Linked DNA regions of Diceros bicornis minor. The protein of the gene in region 2 interacts with the protein of the main gene of each other region in a pairwise test. Links are inferred from orthologs where the notes say so. Each region holds a gene or a part of one and is shown on either strand. Other genes may lie near its edges. The genes, in order: RAB39B, RUFY1, UTP25 and RAB3IP.

Evidence for each region.
Region 1: the proteins of RUFY1 (region 2) and RAB39B interact in binary tests that used the Homo sapiens proteins (3 or more experiments, as listed by UniProt). The two-hybrid records come from large-scale screens. The link is inferred for Diceros bicornis minor from reciprocal best matches to the Homo sapiens genes RUFY1 and RAB39B.
Region 3: the proteins of RUFY1 (region 2) and UTP25 interact in binary tests that used the Homo sapiens proteins (3 or more experiments, as listed by UniProt). The link is inferred for Diceros bicornis minor from reciprocal best matches to the Homo sapiens genes RUFY1 and UTP25.
Region 4: the proteins of RUFY1 (region 2) and RAB3IP interact in binary tests that used the Homo sapiens proteins (3 or more experiments, as listed by UniProt). The two-hybrid records come from large-scale screens. The link is inferred for Diceros bicornis minor from reciprocal best matches to the Homo sapiens genes RUFY1 and RAB3IP.

What each region holds. Positions count from the first base shown.
Region 1 is NC_080781.1:138,747,523-138,754,995, reverse strand, and holds the start of RAB39B (ras-related protein Rab-39B), read right to left. Parts: upstream 3,122-7,473; 5' UTR 2,944-3,121; coding exon 2,729-2,943; intron 1-2,728. UniProt on the Homo sapiens protein: The small GTPases Rab are key regulators of intracellular membrane trafficking, from the formation of transport vesicles to their fusion with membranes.
Region 2 is NC_080740.1:92,537,131-92,544,416, forward strand, and holds the start of RUFY1 (RUN and FYVE domain-containing protein 1), read left to right. Parts: upstream 1-4,139; coding exon 4,140-4,425; intron 4,426-7,286. UniProt on the Homo sapiens protein: Activating adapter involved in cargo sorting from early/recycling endosomes. Regulates retrieval of proteins from endosomes to the trans-Golgi network through interaction with the dynein-dynactin complex.
Region 3 is NC_080743.1:75,865,723-75,873,939, reverse strand, and holds the start of UTP25 (U3 small nucleolar RNA-associated protein 25 homolog), read right to left. Parts: upstream 3,112-8,217; 5' UTR 3,028-3,111; coding exon 2,921-3,027; intron 2,882-2,920; exon of another isoform or gene 2,667-2,881; coding exon of another isoform or gene 2,623-2,666; intron 2,100-2,622; coding exon 2,060-2,099; intron 1,341-2,059; coding exon 1,097-1,340; intron 1-1,096. UniProt on the Homo sapiens protein: Component of the ribosomal small subunit processome for the biogenesis of ribosomes, functions in pre-ribosomal RNA (pre-rRNA) processing. Essential for embryonic development in part through the regulation of p53 pathway.
Region 4 is NC_080756.1:1,617,830-1,625,834, forward strand, and holds the start of RAB3IP (rab-3A-interacting protein), read right to left. Parts: upstream 3,206-8,005; 5' UTR 3,129-3,205; intron 2,822-3,128; exon of another isoform or gene 2,801-2,821; intron 1-2,800. UniProt on the Homo sapiens protein: Guanine nucleotide exchange factor (GEF) which may activate RAB8A and RAB8B. Promotes the exchange of GDP to GTP, converting inactive GDP-bound Rab proteins into their active GTP-bound form.

The DNA.
Region 1 (7,473 bases), on a different chromosome or scaffold from region 2:
ATCACAAATTCTAGTAGTTGAAACAGGATTTTTTAAAAAATAAAAATGAATTTATGATCATTGACAGAAAATGCTTATAAATATATAGGTATATTGCAATATACTCCACTTATCATTACCATGTTTGTCTTTCTATTGTTATTATTATTATTCTAATAATCCAACAGGGGTCCTCAATCTCTTCTGTGAAGAGAAACACAATTTTTTTTACTTTTCAGGCCATGTGGGAATGGGAAAAAGAGGGATGATCTGCAAAGGCCTTGAGCAAAGTGCCTGTCAGCCCTACTTCCTGACACATTTCAGAGAGGCTGACTCAGGAGCCCCCAGCTGGCAAAAACTGCCTAAATACCCAAAGTTTCCCTTTGAAATGACATGATTTATTTAAAGGATTGTAATTAGAATATTTCTAAATCCTATTATACATTTGCTGTACTTCTTAAACAGAAGAAACCTCATATATTTTAACTTCTTGATTTGAGGAGCTTCATTATCAATATACATTATGGTACTTTGCTTAGAGTGTATTAGAGCTTATTAGAAGGTGTACAACTATTTGCTTCTACAATCACTTGTTTTAGATGACTGTGCTTTTTGATCTATGTCTATTTTTAGGTTTTCGATCTCCTTGGATGAAGAAGATAAACAATGAGGGACTCAATAGCTTAAGACTTAGGGCAAATAGCCAAATGATAACAGAACAAACATTGTCCAGGGAGGGCAGGCCCCGTGGCTTAGTGGTTAAGTGTGCGCGCTCCGCTACTGGTGGCCCAGGTTCGGATCCCAGGCGTGCACTGACGAACCGCTTCTCCGGCCATGCTGAGGCCGTGTCCCACATACAGCAACTAGAAGGATGTGCAGCTATGACATACAACTATCTACTGGGGCTTTGGGGGGGAAAAAAAAAGGAGGAGGATTGGCAATAGATGTTAGCTCAGGGCCAGTCTTCCTCAGCAAAAAGAGGAGGATTAGCATGGATGTTAGCTCAGGGCTGATCTTCCTCACAAAAAAAAAAAACATTGTCCAGTGAATTAAAGTCCAAGCTACATGATGATAACAGCAAACCTTACAAGTGAGTTCAAGTCTCCAGGACCAGGCAAATCAGCCCTGGAGACTGAAAGCATTTCTAATTCCCTTATGTTTGAAGATTCATGGAGAATGGTAGGTGTACCAGAAAATTTGACATGAACAAACAGAGCTTTTGATTTATGAACAGCTTGGTTTAAGAAATCAATAAGCAAGCTGTAGACCCCTGTCAGAACTCTAAAATACATTATTACATTAATGGTTTGTGAGTATTTAGAAAGCAACCAAGCCCTTTCTAAGCAAAACATAAGGCTACATAAAAATTAAAACCTTCTTTACATTAAAAATGTTTCTTAAACAAAGTTAACAAACAAATGACAAACTGGGAAAATATTTTACAACATACATGACAGAAAATAATTAATATTATTAATCTATAAAGAACTCTTACAAATGAATATCATCCAATAAATAAGTAGTGGATATGAAAAGGCTGTTCATACAGAAATTCCAATAAACATGTAAAAGACACCTTTCTTCACTTATAATATGAGAAATGCAATGACAAGTTCAAAGTGAACCTGTACAAGGATATTTGTCAAAGTGTTGTTTGTGAAGGTAGGGAGTTGGAGACAACTTAAGTTTGTAATTATCTCTTCTCCCTACTCCTCTTCAACTACCTAACCAGTATCTTCTATGCTGAATTAGTGTTCAATAGATAAATAAATAAATGATCATAAATATGGGCTACTGAGTCATTTTGATCTAGTTCTTGCTACACCACATGACTTTAACCCAAATTGCTCTCTCAAAGTTTTGTGTGTACACTGCTCTCTCGCACTTCTGTCTTTCTACATGGTATTTCCTCTCTCTGGGCTTTTCCTGTCTTTCTTGGGTAGTCATACTCATCTGGCCTCATCTTCTCCAGGAAGCCTACCCTCCTCTGTGTTCATACATATAATTACAAACAATACATACTACAAAGGAAAAGCAAAGCGTTGTAAGAGAAAATTAAACCTGTTCATTGATTACTCATTATGTGCTAAGCATTATAGTAGGGAGTGGGCATACAAATATGAACAAGACACTCCTTTGTGTAATTGCTCATTATCTATTTCCCCCTACTATGCTAGCAGAGAAGTTGTAAGAGGGAAGGGCCTGTGTCTGTTTTGTTTACATGGCATCCCCTTGTGTGAGTTTCCTCAGGCTTTTTCCTCAGAAACAAGCCCAGTGTCTTGCACGTAGCGGATGATCACTGAATGTGAGCTGGTTGCAAGATGAAGTCAATCATCAGTATCTATTTCATATGGATATAATATATCTATACCTGTATCTATCTCTATATCGCCTATCTATCTATATGTGACAGTTATGTCAGGATGACCCGGGAACATTTTTAAAAGAATGTAGCATAGGCACTGAGATTGATGAATTACAGTAATCAATTCCAGCTAGTTTATTAGCCACCAAGGGGCAGGTTGGTGGAGTAGTGGTGCAAGCAATACGTACTATAGACGGGCCTTCCCTGCCAGGGCGCTTCTTTCCCTGCACTTCAGCTAGCTGAAGGTGGGCTTGAGCAGAAACCCCCAGACCCTTGGTATCGTCCCTACTGGCCGCGACCAGGACCAGGAAGTCCTTTTTCCCCAGGGACTGTGCAAGCCCTGAAGACCCTCCCACTGCTCGCGGGCCCGGACTGCGCTCCCACCTGAACCTCTCTTGACCCGCGGTATCCCAGATCTGGAGCTTGATGCGTTTTCCTGGCTCGATCTCCACCAGACGGGAGAAAAAATCCACCCCGACGGTGGGGTCCGAAACCTGGGCAAAGCGGCCCTCGGTGAAGCGGCGGATCAGACAGGACTTGCCCACCGTGGAATCCCCGATGACAATGAGCCGGAACTGGTACAGCCAAATGGCCTCCATGGCCGGGGCTCGGCAGGTCTCCTTGGCCTGGGCCGTGGGCGGCGAGAGGGGCCGCTCCGCCGAGGACTCGGAGAGCGCAGCTCGATCCGGATCTAGATCGGCCGCGAGCGCATCGCTGGCCTGGGAGCCCGAGGCGAGGTAGGCCCAGGCGCAGGGAGAACGGAGGGATGGATGCTGTGCTCGCAGGGGTGATGAAATGGCAGCAGCATCAGCACCGCGCACTCTGACTCATCACTGACAACCAGGTTACTGTAATCGCCCGAGTAGACGCTACGCCAGGGTCCGCCGCACTGTCTCTAAGAGGAGCGCACACAAAAACGGCCACGAAAACAGCTCTGTTCCCTTTATTTCTAATTCCTCCACCCAACCCCTCTTCTTAATTACAAATTTTCTTTATCTTTCAAATTGCCACAGTAAGGGGGCCCGGCAGGTGGCATAGTGGTTAAGTCCCGGCGCTCCGCTTCAGCGGCCCGGGGTTCGCAGGCCCTGAACCAGGCGCGGACCTGCACCGCTTATGCCATGCTGTGGCAGGATCCCATATACCAAAATAGAGGAGGATGGGCACAGATGTTAGCTCAGGGACAATCTTCCTCAGCAAAAAAAACAAAAAGTAATACCTTTTCTTTAAAACTAGTGAAACAATATAAAAATGTACATAAAAAGGAAACTCCATAATTATATGCCCCCCTCCCTCCCCAAGGTATTAATAGCTTGGTATATTTTCTTCCACGTGTATTTATACACATTTATTGCTGTTTGATTTTACAAAAATTGGATCAGATTGGACCATTACTCTGACACTTGCTTTTTGCAGTTAAAGAATCATAGACATCTCTGCATTTCCAACTCATTTTCCTTTTGCCATAACAATGCTACAATAAAGATTCTAAGTATAGTCACACATTATTTCTATGAGATAAAGTCTTACAGGAGGGACCAGATAATCAAAGAGTATGCGTATTTTAAATGTAAAACATACGGGCACTATACTTTGAAAAAATATTTAGCAATTTAAATTCTAGTCAGCAATGTGGGAAAAGACCATTTCTTTCCATTATTCCAAGCATCATATATCATATTCTTAATTCTTGCCAATCTGATGTAGTTAAATAAAAAGGTGTCTCATTGCATTGACCATTTGCATTTCCTCTTCTGGGAATTGCCTCTTCAAATCCTTTGTATTTTTTTTATATGTAATCCTTTATCATTGCCTTATTCAATTATTTTTAAAACAGCTTTATTGATATATAATTCACATACCATACAGTTCGCTCATTTAAAGTGTACGATTCAATGGTTTTTAGTATAGTCGCAGAGTTGTGCAACCATCACCACAATCACTTTTAGAACATTTTCATCACCCCAAAAAGAAATCCTGTATCCATTTATAGTCATGCCTCTTTTCCCCTCAACCTCGAGACCTACGCAACAATAATCTCCTTTCTGTCTCTATAGATTTCCCTGTTCTAGACATTTCATAAAAATGGAATCATACAATATGTGGACTTTTGTAACTGCCTTCTTTCACTTACCATAAGTAGTGTTTTGATTACTAATCCAATCTCTTCACTTGTTATAGGTCTATTCAGATTGTCTATTTCTTCTTAAGTCAGTTTCAGTAGTTTGTATCTTGGTAGCAATTTCTCCATTTCATCTAAGTTATCCAATTTGTTGGCATACAATTATTCATAGTATTCGTTTATAATCCTTTTTGATTTTCTAAAGTCAGTAGTAATGCCCCCTCTTTCATTTCTGATTCTAGTAATTTGAGTCTTTTCTCTTTTTTTTCCTTGGTAAATCTAGCTAAAGGTTTGTCAATTTTGTTGATCTTTTCAAAGAACCAATTTTTGGTTTCATTGATTCTATTTTTTATTTACTTTCCATTTCATTTATCTCTGCTCTAATCTTTATTATTTTCCTCCTTCTGCTTGATTTACTTTTAGTTTGCTCATCTTTTTCCAGATTTTTAAGGTGTAAGCTTAGGTTATTGATTTGAGATCTTCCTTTCTTTTTTTTAATATAGGCATTTACAGCTTTAAATTTCCCTCTGAGCACTGCTTTATCTGCACCCCATAAGTTTTGGTATCTTATATCTTCATTTTCATTAATCTCAAAGTATTTTATGATTTCTCTTTTGATTTCTTCTTTGATCCATCTGTTATTTAGGAGTGTTTTGTTTAATTTCTATATATTTGTGAGTTTCCCACATTTTTTTCATGCCATTGATTTCTAATTTCATTCCATGTGATCAGAGAACATGCTTTGCATTGTTAGTATCCTTTTAAATTTCTTGAGGTTCCTTTTATGGCATAACATATGATCTTTTCTGGAGAATGCTCCATGTGCACTTGACAAAAATGTATATTCTGTTGTTGGGTAGAGTATTCTATATATATGTGTTAGGTGTAGTTGGTTTTTAGTGTTGCCCAGGTCTTAACTTTCCTTGTTGATCTTCTGTATAGTTCTCCTATCCATTATTGGAAGTGGAGTATAAAGTCTTCAACTATTATTGTAGAACTACTCCTCATTTCAATTCTATCAACTTTTGCCCCATATATTTTGGAGCTCTGTTGTTAGATGCATATATGTTTGTAAATGCTGTATCTTCATGATGGATTGACCCTTTTATCATTATGAAATGTCCCTCTTTATCTCTAGTAACTTTCTTTTGTTTTGAAGTCTATTTTGTCTGATATTAGTATAGCCACTTCAGCTTTCTTGTGGTTGCTGTTTTCATGATATAACTTTTTCCAAATTTTTACTTTCAATCAATGTGTATTATGGAATCTTAAGTGTGTTGCCTGTAGACAGCTTATAGTTGTATCATTTTTTTATCCAATCTCACAATCTGTGCTCTTTTATTGAATTGTTATTATTGTTATCATTTATAAGGTTGGATTTACATCTGCCATTTTACTTTTTCCTTTTTTATATATCTTATTTTTTGTTCCTCTATTCCTTCTTTATGACTTTTTTTGCATTAAGTGAATATTTTCTAACGTAGCATTTTAATCTCTTTAATGATTTTTTCACTATATTTTTTACCTATTTTTTAAATAGTTGCTCTAGAGTTTACCAAATACATCTTATCAGAATCACCTTCAGGTGTATACCAGATTAATTCCACATATATGGAATATATATGTATATATAATATATGATATATAGAAACATACTTCTATATAGCTCTATTCCTTCTCTCACGTTTAGTGATATTATTGTTAGACCTATTTTAATTTTGTAATGTCCATTAATTTTATAAAACCAACAATACATTGTTATAATTATTGCTTTACCATCTGTAGTCATTTCCTTAGCAATATAGCTTGACTCCCATCCACCTCTTATGTGCTGCTTTTGGCAAATACATAACATTCCTATATGTTATAGACCCAACTGTACACCATATACATATTATTTTATACAATTGTTTTTTAAATCAGTTAAGGAAAAAGAGGAGAGAAGTATACATTTATGCAGTCTTTTATAATTACATAATTACCTTTACGAGTGCTCTCTGTTTTGTGTGTGTGTGTGTGTGTGTGTGTGTGTGTTTGAACTGCCATCTGAGGTCACTTGCTTTCAGTTTGAAGAACTTGCTTCAGTATTTCTTGTAAGGTGGGTCTGCTAGCAACAAATTCACTCAGTTCTTATTTGCTTACTTTGGAATGTCTTTATTTGCTTTCATTTTTTGAAAGATAGCCTTGCTGGATATATGATTCTTGGTTGACAGTTTTTTTTTTCATCACTCTGACTATGTTATCCCACTGCATTATTTATTTTGAGAAGTTGGCTATTAATCTTATTGGTGTTCCCTTTTAAGTGATGAGTCATTTTTTTCTTGTTGCATTCAAGATTTTCTCTTTGACTTTCAGCATTTTTACTGTGATGTGTCTGTTTGTGAATCTCTTTATGTTTATCCTACTTGCAGTTCATTGAGTTTCCTGGATGTATAGGTTATTGTTTTTCAATAAATTTAGGAAGTTTTCTGACATTATTTCTTTGGACATTTTTTCTAGTCTTTTCTCTCTTTCCTCTCCTTCTGGTACTCTCATTATGCCTATGTTGATGCACTTGATGGTGTCCCACATTTCTCTGAGGTTCTGTTCACTTTTCTTCATTCTTTTTCTCTCTGATTTTCAGCTTGCCTAATCTCTATTGAACTATCTTCAAATTCACTAATTGTTGCTTTTTCCAGTTGAAATCTACTATTGAGCACCTGTAGTAAATTATTTATTTCAGTTGCACTTTTAAACTCCAGAATTTCCCTTTGGTTCTTTTGTAAAAAAAATAATTCCTTTCTCTTTATTGATAATCTATATTTGATGTGACATTGTCATCATATCTATTTTTACTTCTTTAACCATGCTTTCCTTTAGTTCTGTGAACATATTTGTAATGACTACTTTGAAATCCTTTTCTGGTAGATCTGACATCTGCTTGCTATCACAGGCAGTTTGTGTTGCTTACTTTTTTTCCCAATGTATGAATCATACTTTCTTGTTCTTTGCACGTCTCATAATTTTTTGT
Region 2 (7,286 bases):
GCCAACTCACACCACCAATGAAGCCCTGAGGATCCCTCTCTGGATACTGCCTGTGGCTCAGGCATGTCACTGAACCCAGGGTACTGCATTACTCAGTTTCTAGCTCACACCAGGGAGAAAATGGGCACTCTGACACTGCAGCATGTGGACAAGACAACTCCTCCTGCAATGGGGAAGCCACGGGAGATCTGCAAGCAGGAAGGTGAAAGCACCAGCCCCGGGTCTTGGGAAGTCCTCGGGCTGAGGTGTCTAGAACAGAACAGAGGAAGTAAAGCCCTGACACACAAAGAGACCTCCTAGAAAGTGACTACAAACCAGGTGAGAATCCGTGCGGGCAGTGGCACTGGGTATAGAAGGGCAGGGCCATATTGGAGAGATAGGGTCCAAGAAACGTGGTGAGAATCCTCCAAAAGACTAGAAAGAAAAGTGAGACAGATGGGCAACAGACAGAGGGCAGAATCACCCTCAGGAGGCAGCAGGCAGCTGAAACCCAAGGCATAAGAAACAGGTCCTGAGTAGAGAGGAGGAAAAGGACTGGGGGACAAACCACACAGAAGGCATCCGTAAAAAAAGTCTGGGGTGGGAGGGAGGATTGGGCCACATGTTTGGAGGGGAGGGGCTTTTTAATTATTATAGAACGTTTCAAGCATGTGAAAATTACAAAAAATAACATAACAAATATGTTAAGGTACTTGAAATAATCACACACACTCTGTTCACCAAAACCCCTCTTACCAAGTTTTCTCCAGAGTTGATCTCATATAAAGTAAAAATTGAAAGAACTTAGAATTGCCACATTTGTTGCTGGGAGAATTAAGATAAATATGTGCAAACTCAATTGCCTACCCTATCAGGAATACATGTTTTATTTTATTTTATTACTTTTTTTAAGAACGGTTATATAGGTCTCATAGACTTTTTCTTTTCTTTTCTTTTTTTTCACTGCGGAAGATTCGCCCTGAGCTAACACCTGTTGCTAATCTTCCTCTCTTTTTTTCTTTTTTCCCTCCCCAAAGCCCCAGTATATGGTTGTTAATTCTAGTTGTAAGTCCTTCTAGCTCTTCTATGAGAGCCGCAGCAACAGCATGACTACTAAGAGGCAAGTGGTGTGGTTCCACACCCGGGAACCGAATCCAGGCCACCGAAATGGAGCGTGCCGAACTTTAACCACTAGGCCATCAGGGCTGGCTCAGGAATACTTATTGTACAATGCCCTATTCACTATTCTGAAATGAAATTCACAGATTATAAACCTACCAACACTCAAAATTTCAAAAAATTAATATAATGTCCTAACTGTAATATAAAAGATAAATAAATCTATAGTACGTATTTCAATATGTAAATGGGGCACAACTGTCACCAACTAGGTGTCCCAAGGAACTCAAGGGTGGGTTTGAAAGCATTTAACTGTTTTTCCAAGTTGTTTTTTTCCCTTTTGTTATGTTAAGGAGGTGTAACCACCAACCACCCTGAACCAGACCAAGCCTCACCACAAGAGCTACACCCAGGACCTTTGCCTCATTTGTAATGCTAAGATCTCTCCAGAGGAGTTTAGGCCTTATCACCACCACCTGCAGTGTATGTGGAAGCACGTTTTCCTACTGAGCCTGCAAAAGCTAATACCCACCTCTCCCTTTTGAATATTCATTCCCACCCGAAACAAAGGTCCCTGCTTGCCTTTGTTCGGGGAGCCTTGACTTTGGAAATGACTCCTCATGGCTTCCTATTTGCTGCAAATACACTTTACTTTGTGAGACAACTTCCACTGGTATAGAGTCTCATTTAACTTGCCAGGAGGTGAGCCCACTTGGTTCAGTAACACAACTACCAGGCACTGTCGCAATGTCTTAAACACCAGAAGCAGCATTGCTGTGGGTGGTATGGTTTTCTGAAATGGTTAATAGCTCTTAGGTTCTGAACAATCAATTTAGTTGCATTCTGGGAAAATTCAGGGTTCACTTATGGTAGTCCTTATACTGCTCACCAGTATTCCCAGTTCTCCTTTTCCTAGACAGTTGTAAGATTGGACTTGCTACCTCTCTTGAAGCTAGAGGTGGCCTGTGACTTGCTTTGGCCAATGAAATGTGTATAAAAGCAAAGTTTGTCACTTCAGGGATAGGGCTTTTAGTGTTGATGCAAAACTCTGCTCCCAGTGATGGAACCTCCCACAGCCTGGGTCCCAGAGTGAAGCATGACCAGAAACAAACTTTTCTTATGTTAAGCCACTGAGATTTGGGGGTTACTGCAGCATAAGCCAGCCTGATACGATATTAAAACTATTCAAAAAAAAAAGAGTTAATGTTTTTATGCAACATGGAATTAGGTTCCAGGCTCATTATAAACAAGCTTTTCACCCACATGAACGCCCAGTGGCATTGGAAAGTCCTAAAGGATACTGGACAACTGTTTGTTATTCCAGGCCACCTAACGCCCCTGTCCACCCCACTCCAGTAAGACGAGTAGCAGCCCCTCAATCATTGTGACAACTCAAACACCATCCCCACAAACACCCCAGGCACTCCCCATCCCCTTCCCCCCAGAGAAAACAACTGAGATTACAAGAACTTGTGAAGAGGGTGGACTAAGATGCCAGGAGAACCTGGGCTTCTAAAGGGGCAGCCATCAGGGAAATATACTCTGAGTTGCCAAAGCTTCCGATATTTCAAGAGAAGGCCAAAATCCAGACTTTTATATGAAATCTTTTGATTTCTAAATATCAGCAACAACTTAATTTTTTTTAATTTAAACGCTCTGGGATTCAAACAAAACAGTTCTCCTAGTTTCACAAGGCCCAAGTGCAGCACTTTGCAAACCAAGTGTCACTGTCACAGACTAATTGCCCCGAGGAACTCAAGTGTGGGTTCAGAAGCATTCAACTGTTCAAGAGATGCAATCACCAGCCACCCCTGAACCAGACCTAGCCCCACCACAAGAGCTACGCCTGTGACTTTTGCCTCATTCCCGCCCCCCCAAAGCCCCAGTAGATAGTCCTGTCATAGCTGCACATCCTTCTAGTTGCTGTATGTGGGCCGCAGCAACAGCATGGCAGGACAAGCGATGCCTTGGTGCGTGCCTGGGGTCCGAACCCACGCCGCCAGCAGCGGAGCGCGCGCACCCAACCGCTAAGCCATAGGCCTGCCCCCTTTGCCTCATTTTTGATGCTAAGATCTCCTCTCAGGCGTATCACCATAACCTGTAGCATATGTGGAAGCATGTTTTCCCTCTGAGCCCAGACAGGCAAATGTCCCTCTCTCTTTTGAATGTTTATTCCCCATCCAAAATAAAAGGTCCCTGCTTTCCTGTGCTTAGGGAGAGCCGCGACTTGTGAAATGATTCCACGATGCCTATCTGCTGCAAACAAGTTCCACTTTGTGTGACAAGTACTTCTGGTCAAGAGTCTGATTTTAACTCATCAGGAGGCGAACCCACTTTTCGGTTTGGTAACAAAAAGTGAAATTTGAGTTTCTATTTGGGCCAAGTCCCTTCTTTTCCAAGCTAGGAAACAGATTATGAGTAATTCCCTACAAGCGGATGGTGTCTTGCCCATGCCGCATAGCTGGGTGACAGAGAGTCATCACAATCGCTGACGTCCGCCACGTGCTCTGACTGCAAAATCCTATTTTACACCCCGACCTTCTGATGCCCCATCCACCACAGTGTGCTCTTTCCTGCCAGGCCATCGCATTTCCTTATTTAATTAAGAAGAAAAATCCTTCTTTCCTGCCTCGCCTGTCCCAGACTTTCCTTGCCAGCCCTTTTAGGGCTTGTTCTGAAGACTGCTGCAGAAAAATGACGAAGTAGGAAAAGTAAATCAAGAAATGAAATTTAAAAAGAGGAAACAGTGTCACAAAGACGACTGCGGCCATAGGAGCTGTGTCCCAGGCCAAGCCGGTGGGCCACTGTAACGGGACAAAGCCCAAGAGTAACTTCATAGAAACAAGTCCTCCAGGCTGGTGGGAACGCGCGTGTATGATCTGTACTTTCCTGAACCTTTTCAAATTGAAAGGAAGGAAAGCAGCGCTGTGAACAGGAAAAAGAACGTTGCCAACGGGAAAAAAAAAGAGCGCCACGGAGCTAAAGCGCCCGCCCGCCCGCGCCCAGTCCGCCCCCGGCTGCAGCCACGTGACGGGGCCAAGATGGCCGACGGGGAAGACGGCTGCCCGGCGGGGCGGGAGCGGGTGCCGGAGCTGGGGCCGGGGCCGGGAGAAGAGTTCGAGATCGTGGACCGGAGCCAGCTGCCTGGACCGGCAGAGCTGCGGAGCGCGGCGAGGCCGCGGGCGGCGGCGGAGGGGTGGTCGGCGCCCATCCTGACCCTGGCGCGCAAGGCCACAGGCAACCTGTCGGCGAGCTGCGGCAGCGCGCTGCGTGCGGCCGCGGGACTGGGCGGTGCTGACGGCGGCGCGGACGGTGCGGCGCGCGCAGGTAGGCTCCGACCGGGCGCGCGCGTGTTCTGCACGCGACCGCGGCCGTTTCGCAGGGGGAGCCGGGCTGGCAGGGGCGTGAGCTGCCTCAGCCGGTTGGAGAAGCTGCTGGCCACCTTGTCAGCACGCCTGACCGCTCGTCCTTTTTCTCTATCCTGTGCTGCCAGGCCAAGATGCAAACGTGGGGGTGGCTGCCCTGAGATTGGGGCGACTCTCGTACCTTATCCCTCCCTTCTGTGTTTCCCAGACAACATCCTTATTCTTAGTGGCGGGCTGTAGACTAAGAAAATTTACGAGTTTAAGCTTAGGTAGTCTGTATTAATTTCAGAAGTACTTAAGAAATGAATCCAGTACTGGTCTCTGCTTTAATCTCACAATGCCAGTCCGGCTCACACCTCCGGGGGTTAACCGCGCATCCCGCCTCAGCGCGGGGTCAGAGCACCCAGGCGGAGGTCGGGAGGTGCGGGTTCCGGGCGAGCCTCACCACCAACTCGCTGTGTGGTGCAGACAAGTCGCCACATTTCCCAGCCTGTAAAATTTATAATCCTCTTCAGCCCTTGTCATCAAGAATAGAGTTTCAGCATATCTGTGAGAAGAATGGAAACATTAACTGGTATGATATTAAGAGCGTGGCCTAGAAAGCCTTATAAAGCCGAGTTGTGCTGACCAATATAGTAGCCACTACCCACGTGTGATGTTTAAATGTTAAATTAAAATTAAAGATTCCGTTCTATCTTCATAGAAAGCGCTGTGGGGCAGAGCTGACTAGACTATAGTACTCTCTCAGAAGCATTATCATGTGCCTTTGCGGTTTCTCGATTCCCTGCTATTCACTGGTGAATTTGCTATAGAAGTCATCACTCAGGCCAGAATAGTGGATTGTGAGAATTTCGGTGGTTAAGAAATATTAATGAGTAGAGAAAAGTTTAAAAACTGGCTTGTTTTGAGATTCTGGCAATAGAAAGTAGGACTAGAAGGTAATGAGGAAGCCTGTTCAACCCAGGAATCTAGTTCCTACCAGCTCCCCACCTTTGCACGTGTCAGTGGATGTTTCATGGTATACCCACCCCAAGGAGGTCAGTTCTGAGAGTCAAAGCATGGGATCTTCTGGAGGCCCACAGCAAGGAAATTATAAATGTTAGATGTTCACTGATAAATAAAATGTGCCAGTGCCTAGAACAGTGCCTAACAGAATAATAATTGTTGAACAAATGCACATTCGAAAAATACTTGTTTTCCATTTATAGTAGTGCTATAAATAATAGCCAGCACTGATATTGCACTTACTAGGTGCCAGGTATTAGTCTTAGGTCTGTACATACGCTGATTCACTTAATCCTCACAGTAACCTTAGATGACTGCAGGACTGGCTTCATGTTGTGCAGTTCACGCAGGCTATGATCAGTGTGGTCGCCCAGGGCCAGGCACTCAGAAGTGCCCCACTTTTGAAATTCTTATTATCTGTGAATTTGTTTTGCAAGTGAAGTCCTATGGAACAAAGGAGCATGTGTGGAGGCCTTGGAGCTCATGTGTGGTGCCACCTTCCGCTGCCTCCCTGGGACAAGCTCTCAGCAGCCCTGGCCCACTCAGACTGCCCTGGGGCTTCTTCCTACCCCTCGCTGACCCCACTCTGTGACTACTCCTGGCCGGGGGAGGATTGAGATCACACCCTCTGAATCTCAGGGCAGGGCAAGGTGTCCACTGTCTTGCCCCAGGCTGGCACTGCCACAGCACATTAGGCAGGTAACTGGGCAGAGGCCTCTCGCCCACCCAACCAGGTACTGACTACCTTCCTGCAAAAAGTTGCAGTCCCTTAGGACTGTGGGAAGAGGAGATTGACTTCCAAGCTGGCCCCATGTTATAGGCACCATTATTATCCCCGTTCCATAAAGAGGGAAACTGAATTAAAGAGAAGTAACTTGACCAAGTTACTTAGAAGTGGCCGAGCCAGGACTTGAACCAAGACAGTATTCGTCTTGAGCCCATGCCCTTAGTCACAACACTTCAAAGCCTTGATGTCTTTAAATAACTTTATAAGCAAAATGCCATAATATATACCATATGGATTTTTTAATTAGTCAATTTAAAGAAAATATTAAATAACTGCCACTCAGATCTGGCAAAACTTGTGAACATGGCTTACTAAGGGCTGAAATGTAGGGAACCGCTGGGATGAGCTGTGTGGCTAGTCCCTGAAGGTAACCAGAATTTGAAGCCAGCAGTGGGAGAGGAGTGGGGATGGGAGTGGGAAAGGCTCTGCAGAGGCCTCAGAAAAACATGTCGGGAGAAGGAGCAGCCACCACTTCAGCTGGGGCCAGGACAGGGCCGGCTCTCATCTCTTTTCACTGACCTGCTTACACAAGCAGTGAGGACGGAGATTTTTCAGAGGGAGCAGTGAGGGTGCAGAGATGGTATGTGAGCAGCGCTCTTGCCAGATAAAATGTGTTTGGTGATAGACGTTTAAGGAAAATGCTGTGGAATGTTGTGTAATACTTTGATACTCATTTTAAGATATTATCCTCTGTGGGGTCTGGTAGCATAGCATGCCACGGTGATTGGTTCTCTGTGGTTGTCTGGTTTGGTTTGTTGTTGGTTTTTTTTTTTTGGAAATAAATGCAGGTGGTAAAAAAAAAAAGAAATCAAACCAAACCAAAAGGACATTTAGTGTAGAGGAACTCCTCCTTCCCAGAACCTGTCCCTAGTCCTATAGTATCTGTCAGAGAGCGTCTGTGCACAGAGCACACGGTCTCATCCCACCAGTTTCACACAAACCACAGGACAGACACACTAGGTTCTACATACTGCTTTTTTGTGTGTGCGTGTGTGTGTGTGTGTGTGTGAAGAAGATTAGCCCTAACATCT
Region 3 (8,217 bases), on a different chromosome or scaffold from region 2:
ACAAACAACATGGATGAATCACAGAAACATGAGGAGCCAAAGAAGCCAGACACAAAAGGGTACATACCGTACATTTCCATTTATATGAATTTTTGGAGGTATTGGAAATGTTCTGTATCTTGATATAACATAGATGTATACATTTGTCAAAACTCATCGAACTGCACATTTAAAATGGGTACACTTTATTGTATGTAAATCGTACCTCAATAAAGTAGATTTTAAAGTTAAAGAAAAACGTCACCTAGAAGTGTGAGATAGAGCTCCTTTAAGCTTCCAATCCCAACCTCTGGAGCCTTCCCTCATTTAGCCCAGCAGTGTGTGACCACTGGGCATCTCTTCAACACCTTATACCTCGCTGTTCAATACAAATCTGCTGCTTGAAAATTTTTGTATATTTTATGTCTATCTTCCATTAAACTTTGTTTCTCTAAAGGAGGAACAGTAATCTCTTTAATAAATTGAGATCGTCACAGAAACAAAATTATGTTCTCTTTCCTCCCAATTAGCGGAACTTTAACTAGAATTGATGAAGTCCTGGAAATGATAGGCAAAAATGTTATTTCTACATTTGTGTGGCAAGAGGGTCCCGTCTTTTCGTCCCATTCTCAAAGATATCATTGAACCCAACAACAAAGTTAAGAATCTCTGCTTAGGGCCAGCCCCGTGGCTTAACGGTTAAGAGCGCACGCTCCGCTACTGGCGGCCCGGGTTCGGATCCCGGGCGGGCACCGACGCACCGCTTCTCCGGCCATGCTGAGGCCGCTTCCCACATACAGCAACTAGCAGGATGTGCAACTATGACATACAACTATCTACTGGGGCTTTGGGGAAAAAAAAAAGGAGGAGGATTGGCAATAGATGTTAGCTCAGAGCCAGTCTTCCTCAGCAAAAAGAGGAGGATTAGCATGGATGTCAGCTCAGGGCTGATCTTCCTCACAAATAAAAAAAAAAAACTTAAAAATAAATAAATAAATAAAAGAGCCTCTGCTTGGATCCACGTGCTTTCACTCAACTCACACGGTACAGGATACTGGACTCATGGGGCAATCTAAGGTTCAGGCAAAGATGATGAACCCACACCAAACACACTTACTCTCCTGCATGTCAGGAGACTCTGCTGCTGTCTCTTCTTCCACACTGACATCACTATCTCCATCTTCATCTTCCATTTCTGCCTCATCTACAACACTGTCTTCTTCTTCTTCTTCCTCCTCCTCGTCCTCCTCATCTTCCTCAGAAACATTCTTTAATGTGGCGAGTAGTTTGTGGTACCCAGAAACTTGTTCTGCTTCACTTTCTGCTTCACTTTCAGAACTTGAAGTATCTGAACTCTCTGACTAAAAGGAAAATGCAAATTTTAAAAACAAAAACTATATTATTCTCCTTGCTACCCTATGACTATCATCAGACCAACAGCGTAAGAGGTTCAGACTTTCCTAAATAAAAATGAGCTTTTCTGCAAATATGCAATCCTATCTATTCAACCAAGCCCAGCACCAAATTTATTTAAAATAGCTAATCTAGCTATGATTCTAGAAGCTCTTCATTTTCTTTGAACTGCTAATGTTCCACATGGGAAGAAAGCTGACTAAAAACGTAGAGCTTTAGGTTATAAGGAGATTTAACCCCTGTGTCAGACATTTGGTACGTTTAAAGCAGCAATGGGAAAATGACAATACAACAAAGGAATGTCATTGTTTTGAGTTTGTTGTAATGGGACAGGACCTTTGTTCATTTTGCACTCTATTTGCGGCTCCTTTTATGTTAAGCAAACAAGATATTCCCTGTTAGGATTCACCAAGAGCCCTCTGGTAAGCCTCCTTAGCAGGTTCTAACAAGCTTATCCCTCAAGACAGTTTCAAACTCTGGTTACTGTATTAGTTATCACAAGGGCATTTTAACAGACATCTGCATTCAAAGCTAAGCAATATTACTAAAATAATAGCTTACGTCTAAAATCAGAAAGAGTGGAAATGTCGCTAAACTTTCTTATTATATATAACCTTAAAAGTAACAACCCAGAACCGACTATTATAAAGAAGATATAAAGCATTACCAGTTGACAAATCTGTGGTTTTGCTTCTTTTCTGGAAACCCTGAGAAGAAACAGGTAATGTTAAACTTTATCTACAAGTATGTAGCAATTAGGAAAAAGTCTAATGACACAACTTTAAGTGAAAAAGGCGGAATATACCATTATAAATACATTCTAACTATAGTCATGTAAAAACTACATATGCACTTGAACAGGGATTCTAAGAATATGACAAATAGTTAATTGACAAATGAAAAGTTTAACGAGGTCACATGACAAGTACGAGTCACACAATAACTGGCTCTTATCCAATAGATAGATAAATCCGACAAACAAAAGCTCTCAGGGTTCACCTTTTCTGACAAATTTCTTAATTAGAGTGTCCCGCTAACTGCTGATAAAGCGGCCTAAAGTGCTGAGACGAGCACTAAGATTACAACCGAGAGTCTGGACACTTACAGAGGAACCCACAACTACCGACACATCAGTTTGCTCATTGTAATTGGACAGATCGGTGATGTCGAGGGTACCCAGCAATTCTTTAAAAACACAAAAAACAAAAACAATCTTAGAAAACCTCTCACCATAGAAAACCCAGCCCCCACACAGTGGGCGTGTCGTCTAGCATAAAGTCGGGGGCTCAACAAAAGGTAAGAAGACCCGAGAAGAACCCCGTCTCCAGGCGGGATGCCGCCAGAATCCTCCCCAGCCGAGCACCCGCCAGGCTCCACGCCGAGCACGGCGGGCGCCAGGGAAGCGTGGGAAGAGACGGGAGCAGCCCCGTCACTGTCCCATGGGAGACCGGCGGGCCAAAACCGGAAACGCCGGATCCCACTGGGAAAAGACGCTGGCAGCGCTGGCCCCAGCTATGCGCCTCCATACTTGTCATAGAAGGGATGCTCCTCGCCGAAATCCCGAAGATGCTTCTTCTGCTTTTTAGTCAGGGTGTTGAGCAGCTGGCTCTGGCTCCGGCTCCCGCGTTTGCCCATAGCGAAAACGTCAAGTTCGCCCACCGTCAAACACCGCGCTTCCCACCAGGAAGCTGTCCTGTCAATCCACTCACGTGGGCTCACCGACGGCGCTTTACGGCGGAAGCAGGTTGCCATAAAGCAGACCAGCTTTACGTCGCGCTTGTACGACAGGCGTTAAAACTTCCTGATTCCGATTCTGCCCCCTAGCGAGGCTCTTTGGAAGCAAACGCACGCATGCGCATTTGTTCTGAGTCATGGAACGTCAGTCAGGCTGGGCTGCCGGATGTGTGGATAGGTGAGCGTGGTTTGTGCTTCTGTTTTGGTTATGGGACTCAGCCTGCGTAAACGTGTATTAGAGGAGATGGTTGGATGCAGTGACTTTATATTATACCATAATAAAAAGACCAACCAATGTTTAAGGGTGCCCCCACCCCTCACTTCATCCTCACAACGGTGCACAAATAGGTCTTGTTAATAAGCCTGATATTGCAGATGAGGAAACTGATGCTTAGAAAAGATGACACACGAGCAAGAGAGAAGATGGAAACCTAAGTCTGTCTGATCCACCACAGGCTTTCACCCACCAGGGTCTGCCACATACGTATGCTAGATCAAGAATGGGGACGCCAGGCTGAGATTCCCACCCTCGTCCCACCCCCTCATCTCCTGAAAGTGTTGGAAGAGCCCCTAGAAACACATCTGTGCCTACATTCTTCATGTTACAAGAGCAAAAACACATCGAGAGAGGTAAAGCGACTTTCCTACAATCATCCAGAGAGTCGATGTTAGAGAAAGCCGTAAAACTCAATCAAGTGTCTCAAAACTGAACTCGGGCAAAGGGGGGACGGGAAAACTTTTTAAGGCGGAGTAACCATTCTATATCTTGATCGTGGTGGTGGTGGTTACGCCTTGTATACAATTACGAAAGGCATCAAACTGTCCGTTTAAAATTGGTAAATTCTAATGTATGTAAATAATAACCTCAATAAACAAAGAGGACAACACAGCAAAACAAAACTGGACTCAGTACTCCAGGGGCAGGCAGAGTGAGCAGGGCTACTTGAGACCACTGGATAAACACAGCGAGATTCTTCTTTCCTACCAGTAACTTATCATGTCATGTTCTATAAAAACAAATCCTTGACTAAAACATAGTGCTATATCATAGACCGCAAATTTCACCTGAATGTTTCCACAGGAGCCATCAAAGACAGTGTTCACTTGGCTCTGCTATTCGGAGTGCTTCTGTGGGAAAAGTTGAGCTTTGCCCATGTCTCACTTGTAGAAGCTGTATTAGAACTACTAGGATTCTATTCTTGTCAGTTCTAGTGGCCATCTACTCCTCATTAGATTCTGGGGGGCTGGGGTGGGGTAGGGAGGGCAGGTAGAGGGAGTGTCAAGAAAATATGCAAACAGCAGGTGGTGCCAGCAGCTGGCCCAGCCAAGGAACCCATAAACAAACAGACATCTGTCTTCTAATTTGAAGATAGAATGTACAGTCACTTATGTCAACAAAAGGCTGTTTGCAAAATGTCATCATATATTTTAAGGCGCTAACCACAGTATAACCTGGCTATAACGATAAAGAGTCAAACTCTTTTTTTCTCCTCCCACCCTATGCCAACTTCCCCAGCTTCCTTCCCCAGAGGCAACCAGTTTCTTGGTGTTCTTCCAGAGAGCTTCTATAAAAAGCTACACTCTTGAGCACTTGAGGTGACTCCTTACTCTCTCCTGGTTTCCACATCCTTGTAGTCATGTGGATGGACAGGTCTAGACTGTTCCCAGGTTCAGGCAAAAATGTGCCCTCGCCCCACCCAAGTGGTCTCATCACTGGCTCACTGAGCAATGGAAAGGGAGCCAGCCCCTCTTCTCCTGAAAATATTTATATTACCATTGACAACAAGAAGGGGGACTCTGAAATTTTAACCTAAGAATCCAGAATTTAAACATTTTTTCATGCCTCCAGTGAAAGTTCTCTTAGTAAAGCCCTCGCAAAGAAGATGTAAGTGCCAACTAGTAAAGGCTCTGGGAAAATTATAATGAAGGCAAAATTTGTTCTTCTTTCTTCTTCCCACCCTCAGCCCTTCCTTTTCCCTTCTCCAAGGTTTTCTTTTACCTCTACCCTCAGGTACGCAGTATAAAGAAATAATCCTTTATACTAGTTCATAAAGAGATGTTAATGAATTAAGTTACCTTTCCCAGGGTATTCGCAATTCCCAGGAGACTCCCTAGGATAATAATTTCAAGGGGTAGAAGAGGGATGGCTGTCCCTTAGGACAAGAATATCAGAATACTCAGGGAGGTGTTAATAATTTAAAAGAAAAAACCTTTGGAAAATTTCAAGTATATACAAAAGTAGACAAAATGGTATAATGCACTCCCGTGTGCCCATTACTCAGCCTCAACAGTTATCAACAAGGCCATCTTGTTTCATATATATGCCCACCCACTGCCTCTGACCCCCTCTGCATTATTTTTGAAGCAAATCCCAGGCATTATATTATTTCATCTGTAAACATTTTAGTATGCATTTTTAAAAGATAAGTGTTCTCGGGGCCAGCCCCAAGGGTTCTTTCTTTAACATAGCCACTATGGCAATATTTCACCAAAACAAGTGACAATAATTATTTAATATTATCATATATCCAGTCAGTGTTTAAGTTTCTGATTGTCTCATAAATGTTGTCTTTTTTTTTAGTACTTTGTTGGTTTAACATGTTCTGCTGTTCTCTATATTTCTCGTGAGTAGGTTGTTGGATCTAGAACTTTGATCAGACTTGATTACAGTTGGTATTTTATACTTCCATCAGGAGGCGTATGATGTCTGGTTGTCTTTGATTTTGTGATGGTACCAGCCATTGGTGCTCAATGTCTAAATTTGTTAATTCATTAGACGTTGCATTCTAATTCTATCATAGGGGGTGATATTCTAATTCCATCATTTCTTCTTCACTTACTTGAGGGACTATTCCTATAAAGACAAACTTCTCCCTTATCTAAATTTTGGTTACCCAGTGGTACAGTTTGTATAGGAAAAGCAGAATAAATACTTGATTCTCTCCCTTCATTTACTAATTTTCAATACAATCAATTCACTAGATCTTCCAATTGTGACTAATCAACTCTTCGTTTTTTATTTTTAGTATGATTATGAACTCACAGAGTTGTACAAATTGATGTGTTTTAATCCCTTGCAAACATTATGGTGTATATGGTTTGAAAAAGCTTATTTGATATATAGCTTTGTATTTGAAAAGACAAACAAACCACTTTCTAATGCAAACTACAGAAAGTAAGCAGAGGTCTAGCTGAGATTCTCAACAGAGAGGGGTCCAAGCACGCCTTGAGAATACAGATCATACTGGAGATGTTTGAGTTTTGGAACTTATGGGATAACATGTGATAACGAGGGCACATGGATTCAAGATATGTTGACGGGGAGCCATAGGTGATCCAAGGGTATGACTCTGTAATGGTGAAAGTTCAATCACCTCAGCTACTGATTTGGAAAGATTCTGGGGAAGGTGTGTGTGCGCCCACGCATCTGTCTCCTCCTAGAGGCCTTAAATCAGACAGTTTCCTCCATAGGAGACCAGCTCCTCCACATGTATACACATGCGTCTATGTACATTCCGAAGCAATCCAGCCTCTCCCTAAGAGTGCTGGCAGAAATCAGTCTCTCACTACCCTTATCGTGAAATAAGCTTATTTATTTATTCAAAAAAATATTTACTAAACACCTGGTGTGCCCGGTGCTATGCTAGCAGCTGAGGCTAGGAGAAAGAATAAGGTCCACGCCAGCCTCTTCAAGGAGTCTGCAGTCTTGTCCAGGCGTGGATGAGTACACAGATGATTACAATACACCGTGATAAATGCTGAACTGATAAATGCTGAATGCTAATGAAGCAGCGAGGACCACGTTTTGGGGCCGAGGGGGGGGAGGTTAGGGGGAGGAGGAGGGGATCCCCCGTTGAGCATTTATCAATCAGTCACATTCATTGAACATTAGTATTGAACTCAAAATTGCTCTAGATTCTAGATCTTAGGCTGTATGCGTTGTTTCAGCTGACTTCAAGAACAGCATGTGTATGTGTTCAAGACAGGATATGAGGGATATAGGACAACAGGAAATTAGAAAGCTGTGTAGTCATCGGATTCCTCAGCATTTATTGTGTATGGAGCAATAAGCTTTCTAGGTGGAGCACATTTTAGAAAAGGAGATTATGTCTGAGAAAAGAAAAACTTTGTAACGCACTGAAATACACTCTACATAACACAGAAATGTAAAATATCATTTTATGGAGTTCCTACCCTTTCTGTTCATCTGTACCCATAAGAAGAACTCATCGACAAATCCAGAGCCTCGCTCATAGTGACCTTTAATAAATGTTTCCTCGGGTTTATCAAAGACTGATTTACGTTGAGTCTAGCCTAAAACTGAAATATTTTATCAGATTATATTAATCTGAGAACAAGCCTAACATGCTATGCTCCCTCTCGTGGAATATTAGTATAACTACACCCTATTTTTCATGTTTCCTGACAAAGGCTCAGCAGGCGTACATTCATTCAACTTATCAAACATTTACCAAACAGTTACTGTGTTCCAGGCATGACGTGAGGCATCAAGGATTTAAAAAGCTCAGACCTCAGACTTTTCCCTTGAAGATCTCATAGTCTAGTCGGAGAGACAAAGCAATTAACAAATAATTACATTGTCATGGGCTAGAAGCTGTATTAGAAGGATGGTTCTAGGAGCCCAGAGGATAAAGAAACTCATTCTGCTGAGAGGGGAGCTGCACAGAGGATGTGCTGAGTCAAGGTTGAACAAGTAGGGAAAGAACCTTCCAGGGAGAGAGAATAGCAGGAGCAAAGGAGTAAAGATGTGCTTGGAGAACTGCACAGTGGTCCATGTGCTGGGATGGGCGGGTGGGAGACGAGAGGTTGGAGAGGCAGGCAGGTGAGGAGGCAGTCCATGGAAGTCCTTGCATGCCTCGCTGGGGAGGTTAGGCCGGATCTCATATAAGGTGAGGAGCCATTAGAAGATTTCAAGCAAGGGAGTTACGGGATCAGATTTGGACTTGAGAGAAATCACAACGATGTCTGGTATGGGTGACAAGGTTATTAATTCTTCCTTTCTGATGCCTCCTCTGAGCAGTTAGTTTGCTATTGATGCTAATGGAGACTTTTTCATACTTTTACTAAATG
Region 4 (8,005 bases), on a different chromosome or scaffold from region 2:
AATTAATTTCCATTTACTAATTCCACAGGATTTAAATGTACAACCTGACACATTTAGAGATGTTAGGTACTGAAATTCTTAAATGAAGGGTTTCAGAAAATGCTCAGAACTTAATGGGTTACTAATATAGTATTTAATTATAAATGCCTGGGACAGAAATATAAAACAATAGTTTGGCTGGTTTCTTTTTCTGAACAGTGGAAGCCTCCTTGTCTTGTACAGGCAAGAACGTGTGTCACCTGAGCGTTCAGTGGGCAATGAGGCGCACAGCGACTGGGTAAAGAAACAAGCAATGAGAGGCTTTAGAGGGAATGAGCAGCAAAGCAGTGAAGAGCGGAGAGAGTGAGTCCAGCTGCCTTTGTTGAAAAAAAGAGAGAAAACAGTAAGCACCCTGAGGGAGCACCAAGATTGGAAAAACAGTCATTCAAGTCTGGGGAGACCTGAGCATCTCACCCAACCAGCCTCAGAGCCTTCCCTCTGGCTCAGTCACTGCCGGCTGTGTGAACTTGGGCACGTCACCCACTTCTCTGAGTTCAAACATAATGCTCTTCCCAACAGGAAATTAATTAAAACACTTACTTACTGTTTCCAGACTCGCTCTGGTTGTTCTTTCAGTGTAATCCCTTTCTGTCAACAGGTGCCACAAGACAAATACTCAATACCATTACTCTTCTCTAGACACACCAAATTACAATTCACTCATTTAATTTGTTCTAAGCTATCATCTGCACGCTCCTTGATGCTTCTAGGCCCCTCTCTCTCGAACCAAGTTCCCTTACAGTACTAGACTGTCATTTCATATCCTTTATGTAGAATTTCATCAACTTCCATGATGCTCACATTTACAACCCTGTTGTTAACGACAAGCAACAAATCTCTCATAAATTTGAACTATTTCAATAATTTTCATTCTTTTTCCTCTGATCTAAGTAATCTTAGCTTACGGCTAAAGCTATTTAATCTAGTGCTGCTGATACCCTAAGATAAATCAAGATTACTTTCTCATTTTTCCCTAACGCTGAATACATACAACTTAAGCTTATGCAACGACCTCATGTAGTTGTAAGCTGAAAGAGAAAGAAGGGAAAAACAGAGCTAGCAATCAACGCTACCTTCTCTAGGTATCCCTCTCCCCCTCAGTCCCTTCAATTCTCACTCTGAGCACTCATTCCCATTTCTACTGCTGGATCAATTCCAACACACCCCAACATTCTTCCACTGACCCTGTATCCCCAAACACAGCACCTCCCAGGTTCCAGGCCCAACACTAAGCCTCTGACCCCAGGTGAGGACTTGAACCCTGCCCTCAGAGCACAAGTACACTGGAGGAAGGGACCTCCTTGTCAACACACATTTACAACTACACTGTAAATATCAAAACCAATGAGCACCAAAACAGAGGCAGGTACTTGGTGCTTTGGAAGCATTAAAGGAAAAAAAATGTACCTGGCACAGATAAGGACAGCAGTACAGAAAAGGAGAAACGAGCTAGAAGAGAGTTTTCAAAAGCTCAAATATTTTACTTTTAGGAAATCAAGTGTATTTAAATAATTAACTTAGTAACCAATTTACTACCCTTTGTTGAACTGTGTCTTAAACAGAACTATACTGGACAAAGGTTTCGTCGGAACAAGTATACTCCCTAAGAAGATCCTCAGAGCTTTCCCTCATCACACAAATGTCTTAACCGCTGCTCGGCCTTCCTCCGCACTCCCAACCATTCCAGCACTGGCTTAGTCGGCACTCACTAAAAGTACTACTATACATACATGTACATGTGAAAAGTGCCTTCTAAATCTTGAAGAACTTACAGAAGACATGGGCATGATTATGTGGCCCACCTCCCAGACCCCTTGGGAACACTCTCCTTTAACCCCCACCGTGACTTGCAGAGAAGATGCTCAATGAATGAAACCCCCAGGCCACTTGGCCAGCTTAAACTAATTGGTTCAATGAGTGCTGCTCAAGAAGTAACCACCATAATACATGTAAAACTACTGTACCTGCAAGCTCTTGTTCTGCCAGATTGAAAAGTGATGGGGACCTAGATTTCTAAGAATCTTTCAACTTTAAGAATTATTTGTGGAACGTCTGTGTGTGTTGGGGGATGAGGGTTTAGGAAAAATTAGAGAAAAAAATATTAAAGGAAGTATATGCATAACTACACTAATTCAAAAGGTACACCTGGATCTAATTAGAAACCCCACTAATCAGAAACCCCCAGGCAGCTGAACATCAAACATCCATCCTGGACAGGTTAGAGGCATTCGATGCCACAGATGAGTTGCGTGCCAAACACACAAGGAAGAGTTCCATTAAATGTATCCACTTTGGTTCACAAGGGTGTGCACTAATACATAACTTGACTGTAGTGGAAAAAGAAAAAAATTAAAAGGCTTTTCTTCTAATAGTAAGACATGCACCATTGTAGTAACACTGTGTAACTGCTGTTCATTTCTATAAATTCCACAAGGGCTTTAGGACTAGATCGCATAAACCGTATCTGGGATGATACAATGTCTGTCGGAACACGAAAAGTCCTATCAAAACGCACAGTACTGGTAAATAAATAACAAATTTACCAGAACAAGGCCCCATAAAAACCGGTGGAATATTTAACAGTATCAAATATTGACTACGATGGGTCTACAGATCCATTCCGCCTCTTTTCTCCTCCATTTGTCGTTCACCTTTTCTTTTCCAAAAAACTGCACGTACAACAAAATAAGAACGAGGATAGAGAACACACAGCGGGTCTCGGCAGATTTCCAGCAGAGCAGTTTTGTTTTAATCCTCTTACCGGCCTCTCGGCACTTATGTAATCGCTCCGGGAGACCACGGGGCGCCCGGCTCCGGGACGGCGGCCCCGGCCCCGCCCCCGCCCCCGCCGCACCTGCCGCCGCACCTGCGGCGTCCGGCCCGGGCGGGGCCGCCGGGCTATGACCGCGTCCGCCGCGCGGCGCGTCCCGACTCCGGAGCCCGCCGGCTGGACGCGCCCCGAGCCCGCGGCGGCCGCAGGCCCCGGCCCGAGCGGGAACTCAGACCCCCACGCCCGCGCAGGTCCCGGGCCCGCCTCGGCCGCGCCGCGAGCCGCCGGCCGCCCTCCCGCCCTCCCGCCGCCGGCTCACCTCACCAAGGCCGGCGGCCGCCGCCCGCTCAAGCGCCCGCAGAGCCGCCGCCGCGCCCGGGGCCGCGAGAGGGCGGGAGGACGCGGGCACGCCGCTCCACCCCGCCCGCCGGGCGCGCTGCGCGGGGGCCGCGGCCCGGACTGCGCCTGCGCCGGGGCCGGGCGGGGCCGCGGGGGCCTGCGGGGCGGGGCGGGGCCAAGCGCGCGAGCGCCCGTCCCGGCGGACGGAAGGCGAGGGGCGAGGGGCGGGGCCCGAGGGGACCGCGCGCTCCGGCGCCCCCTGGCGCCCGGCGGGTTCTTGGCGGGCGCGGCGGGGCGCAGGTGCGCGGGCGGGGGCCCCGGAGCCGGCGCGCAGCTGGTTCGCCGGCGCGGGCGGCCTCGGTTCGCTCCGAGCGTGGGGGGCTCGTCCGGAGTCGGGACGGGAACGTTCGATGTGAGTTGAGGACTGATAGAACCAACTGAGACTCGCGTCCGTCGGGGGTGGGGAATCGAATAGAACCCAGACCCCAACATTCCAGCGGCTGCTAGCACATTCGAGAACGTCATTTCTGTACCTGCCTTCTCTCATCTTGTGTGTCAACTCTTGTCAAACTTCCACCCCATTCTAGGTCCTCCAGGGAGGAAAAGTGAGAATACAGAGAACCAAGCTCCCAAAATCTCATCAAAAAGAGGCGATCGCAGGGTGTGTCTATGTTCAGTAAAAGAGAGACGTGCAATTTGTGATACCCATTGAACAGGACCATCATGTGTATCTTGATCACGTCTGCTAGAGGCAATAAAGCAGAGTAGGTGGCATGTGCGGCTGTAGGAGTCAGAATTCCTGGGGCTGAATCTGCTGCCTACTAGCTGTGTGACTCTGGGTGACTGATCTCTAATTGTCCCAATTTCCTCATCAGTAAAGAGGGATGGTAAGAGTACCTACCTGGTTGTGTCAGTGAGAGATTAAATGGTTTAATGCACGTGAAACAGTGTACTGCATGACAGAGTGCCTAATGAATATTAGCTATTATTATTAATAACAGTGTTACTGTTGTCATCCACCTATAATCCAAAGAGAAACCTGCAAAGTCATTGTTTACTTTTATACTCCATCTCCAATATCACAAGTCATATCCATTCTAATTCCCAAATAGTTCTTGAATCTATCCCATCTGGTATTCACTGCCACTAGACAGGACCTTCCTCATTGATGGACTCCCAGTGTTTCTCTCTTCCACCCTGTCATTCACATCATGTCATGATGATGCCATTCATCCATCAGACATTCACTGCGCCCCATCAACGTGCCTACTGCTGGGTCTGGGGACAGAGAAACCATTACACATGATCTACACCACAAGCACTCAAATGTAGGGAGACAGGCACGTCAATAACCAGTGGAGTGGGTAAACTCAACATGCAGCAAACTACTTGGGTTCTCTGGTCTTGCCATCCTCCCTCATCCATCCCATCTTTAGGTATGCTGCTGGTTTTCTTGTCACCTCCTGACTCTCCACCTTTTCATTTCCTAGCTGATTCCTCCTTATGCTTCAGTATCAGCTCAGGCATCACCGCCACTGTGAACCCTTCCCTGTTGCTGCCACCCAGCCCTACCCCACCCAATATGGGTTAGGTGCCCTTACCTGTGCTCCCATAGCGCCTTATCTCCTTCTAGCACTTGTCACATAGAAAAGTAATTGTAGTTTTTCTATATTCCTAGTTACTATGAGCTTCTTGAGACTAGGCTCAAGATCTGACGTATAGTAGGACTGTCTCAAGTACATGCAGTTGAGTGGACGACATATATGCAGATGCACTGTCTTGGTCTATAAATGTTGAGAGGACAGGCCCTATGACATGTTCCACATAGGACCTAAGACGTCCTGCATCTATAGGAAAGAGTAAGCAGTAGCCATATGCCTGAGTCCCATGCTGGTCTGTTTGCAATCACCTGCCACCAACCAGGCTCTTTGGAATGAACTCAGTGGTGTTTCCTCTCACATACTTAACCTGCTGGCAGAGGTTGAGGATGAAAAGAGCTGTGTGAGTAGTTTCCTATGATAACACTCCAGTGTCCTTGCATCACGGAGACCAAGATACCTCACAGAATGTCAGCACCTCAGCCTGTGAAATGTATCAAGTGTTGTGAGCATCCTACATCAGATTGCTCTCCCGTGTGTTAAAGGGATGGACACTTAACAAACTTTAAAAACGTGATGACAGATTTTGTAGTGTGCTCGTTTGCATTCTTTCTCTTTAATTAAAAAATAAATTGTATAATTAATGTCAAATACAACATATAGAATAATATTCTATTTTTAAAAAATCTTAAAACTTTCCCATCCATACCTGGGGCCAGAAAACAAAGGAGATGAGTGCAAATATCTAGAAATTTAAAGTTGAACGAATCTTTCTAAGGTTGTTGTCCTTAGTTATAACTTTAATTGCTTGTTTTCCTCTGTTTTGTTTTCAAAGTGCAGAAAATGTTGTATGTTTACATGGTACTTTCCAGTTTCAAACTGACTTCACATTAGTTACCTCATGAGTCCTTTACAAAAACCAATTTGACACAGGTGGAAAGGTAGTTAGTCTTCGTCTTTACAGATGGGGACTGTGGACCACAGATCCCTGGTCTTCAGAATGTAGGGTAATACCTTACACACAAATGGAGTTAAAACTCTTTAAAAAGCATACTGGACTTCCCTGCCCAGCGGTGTGGCTGACTAGAGACTGGCTGATTCTCCCACCAAAAGCTCAAAGTGCTGGAAAAAATATATCAAATATCTTATCAAACATGTTAATAAGCTGACAAGAACAAAAGAAACCCTCAAGGGCAAAAACTACATAAAAGCAGAAACCCAGACAGTAAATAATAACAATGCAAAATGCAAAAAAAAAAAAAAAATTTAAAAGCTGGTTATAGGGAAACATGTACCAAAAATAATCTATCATTTCCCTCTCTAGCAAAACAGTTATTTGTGGGCCAGTGCTTGTATTCCCATAAAAATTGGCCTCTGCAACTCCTGTATAAAAGCAGAGCTGTCTCTGTCTTTCATTAGATCCATTTGGACAATGCTGCATTTCAGGCCGTTTTTCCGATGTTGGAATAAGCACCTGAAAAAATCGGAGGGTTGAGAGAAAGGGTTAACAGAAGAGCATGGACTCTAAAAAGTACAGTTCCCTTCAGAAGAGTCCCTGGAACAAGCTACGTATGTATAAGGAAATGTTTGGGTAATTGGCTGCTGACCCAGCAAACCTCACAGATGCACCCGTTGCCGTCCATTAAACAGAGACTTATTCACTGCTTCTCTGTGCCAGGTCCATAAATAATCAGCGGTAAGAGGGAAGAGAGGAGAGATGAGACACAATGGGAGGGCCTTCTGGCTTCCCCGCAGTGTTTCAGTCCCAGGTTCCAGTCTATTCCTGAGGCTTCCTTCATCCCTGCCCAGAGGTTCTGTGAGAAATCCTTGAATCCTTAAAATAATTCCCCCACTTTGCTTCGATTTTGAATGGATTCCTGCTACTGACCACCAGAAAATTATCCTGAACAATGTATTTTCATGGAGGGATTGGTTCCTGTAGCAGTTAAAAACTCAAAATAACAGTAGCTTACGTAAAATAAAACTTGTTCCTCTCAGGTAAGTGCGGGCAGTCCAGGGTCGGTATGGTGGCTCTCTTATCAACACGGACTCAGCCTCCTTCTATCATGTGGCTTCACCGTCCTAAACATGCAGCTTCTGCTTTATGGTCCGTGATGGCTGCTGAAGCTCCAGCACCACGTCCTTGTTCCAGCCAGCAGAAAGGAGGTGGGGGCAGAAAAGAACACACCACTCTTTGTGAGGACACTGCAGAAGTTGTCTACATCCTACACTTTCACCTTGTTAGTCAGGACTTAACTATAAGCGATGTTGAAACACGTAGTCTCGACTGTGTGGCCGTAGGCCCAGCTAAAAGTCAATGGTTCTGAAACCAAAGAAGAAGGGAAGAACAGATACTGGAGACAACGGGCAGTCCCTGGTCACCACGAGATTAGACCCAGGAAGAGGGAAGTGGTGATGGGGTAGAACATAGAAACCAAGCAAAGGCTTGTAAGGAAACACTCGAGGCGCTCAGTGATGGTGAGCGATGCAGAGCAGTGGGCACGTGGAATGAGTGAGCGCAGGCAGACAGAGAAGCCAGGGAAGAGAGTGGGAGCAGACTGGAAGATCATAGACGCCAGAGGGAGGCTGTGGGATCTGGTCGTCAGAGGTGAACCCCCAGAAGACTTTGAGCTGGAGAGTGAAATGACTGTGACAGTGCTTGAGGAGGAGGGACGTGGTGGCAGTGCCCACTGGAGGGGCTGACCAGAGGGAAGGAGTCAGACAGGAGGCTCGCACGAGACAGGAGTGCCTTTACCACAATGAAACAGGGCAGGGGAAACGTCTCCAAGGGTGGGTATGTGGCAGGCAACAGCTGATTCCGTGTCCTCTCTCTCTCCCTCTTTTTTTTTTTTATTCTTTGCATCCCTTATACCTTCTTGAGATCACCACAGTGATTTTATTCGGGGACCTGCCCTCCCACCATGTTCAGTCAGTATGATTCAAGTGGAACTGAATTCCTCCTGCTTCAGGGGTGAGCCTGTGACCCAGGCATAACCATCCAGAGAATCCTCCTGGTCTCTGTGGTTGGCTTGTGATAAGCAAATGATTCAAGCAGAGCCAATAAGAAGCAATTCTGGGTCTTTTGGGAAATCGCTGGGAAAAGTGAATCTTTATGAGGATTCTTGAGAAATTTGAATGTGACCCTGAAGCTGCTGGTAGCCATCTTGCCACCTAACAGGGAGAAGGCAGATCTGAGAGATAAGAAAACCAAGTGTGAGTCCTGCTGACATTACTGGATTTCCTGGATCAAGCTGTGACT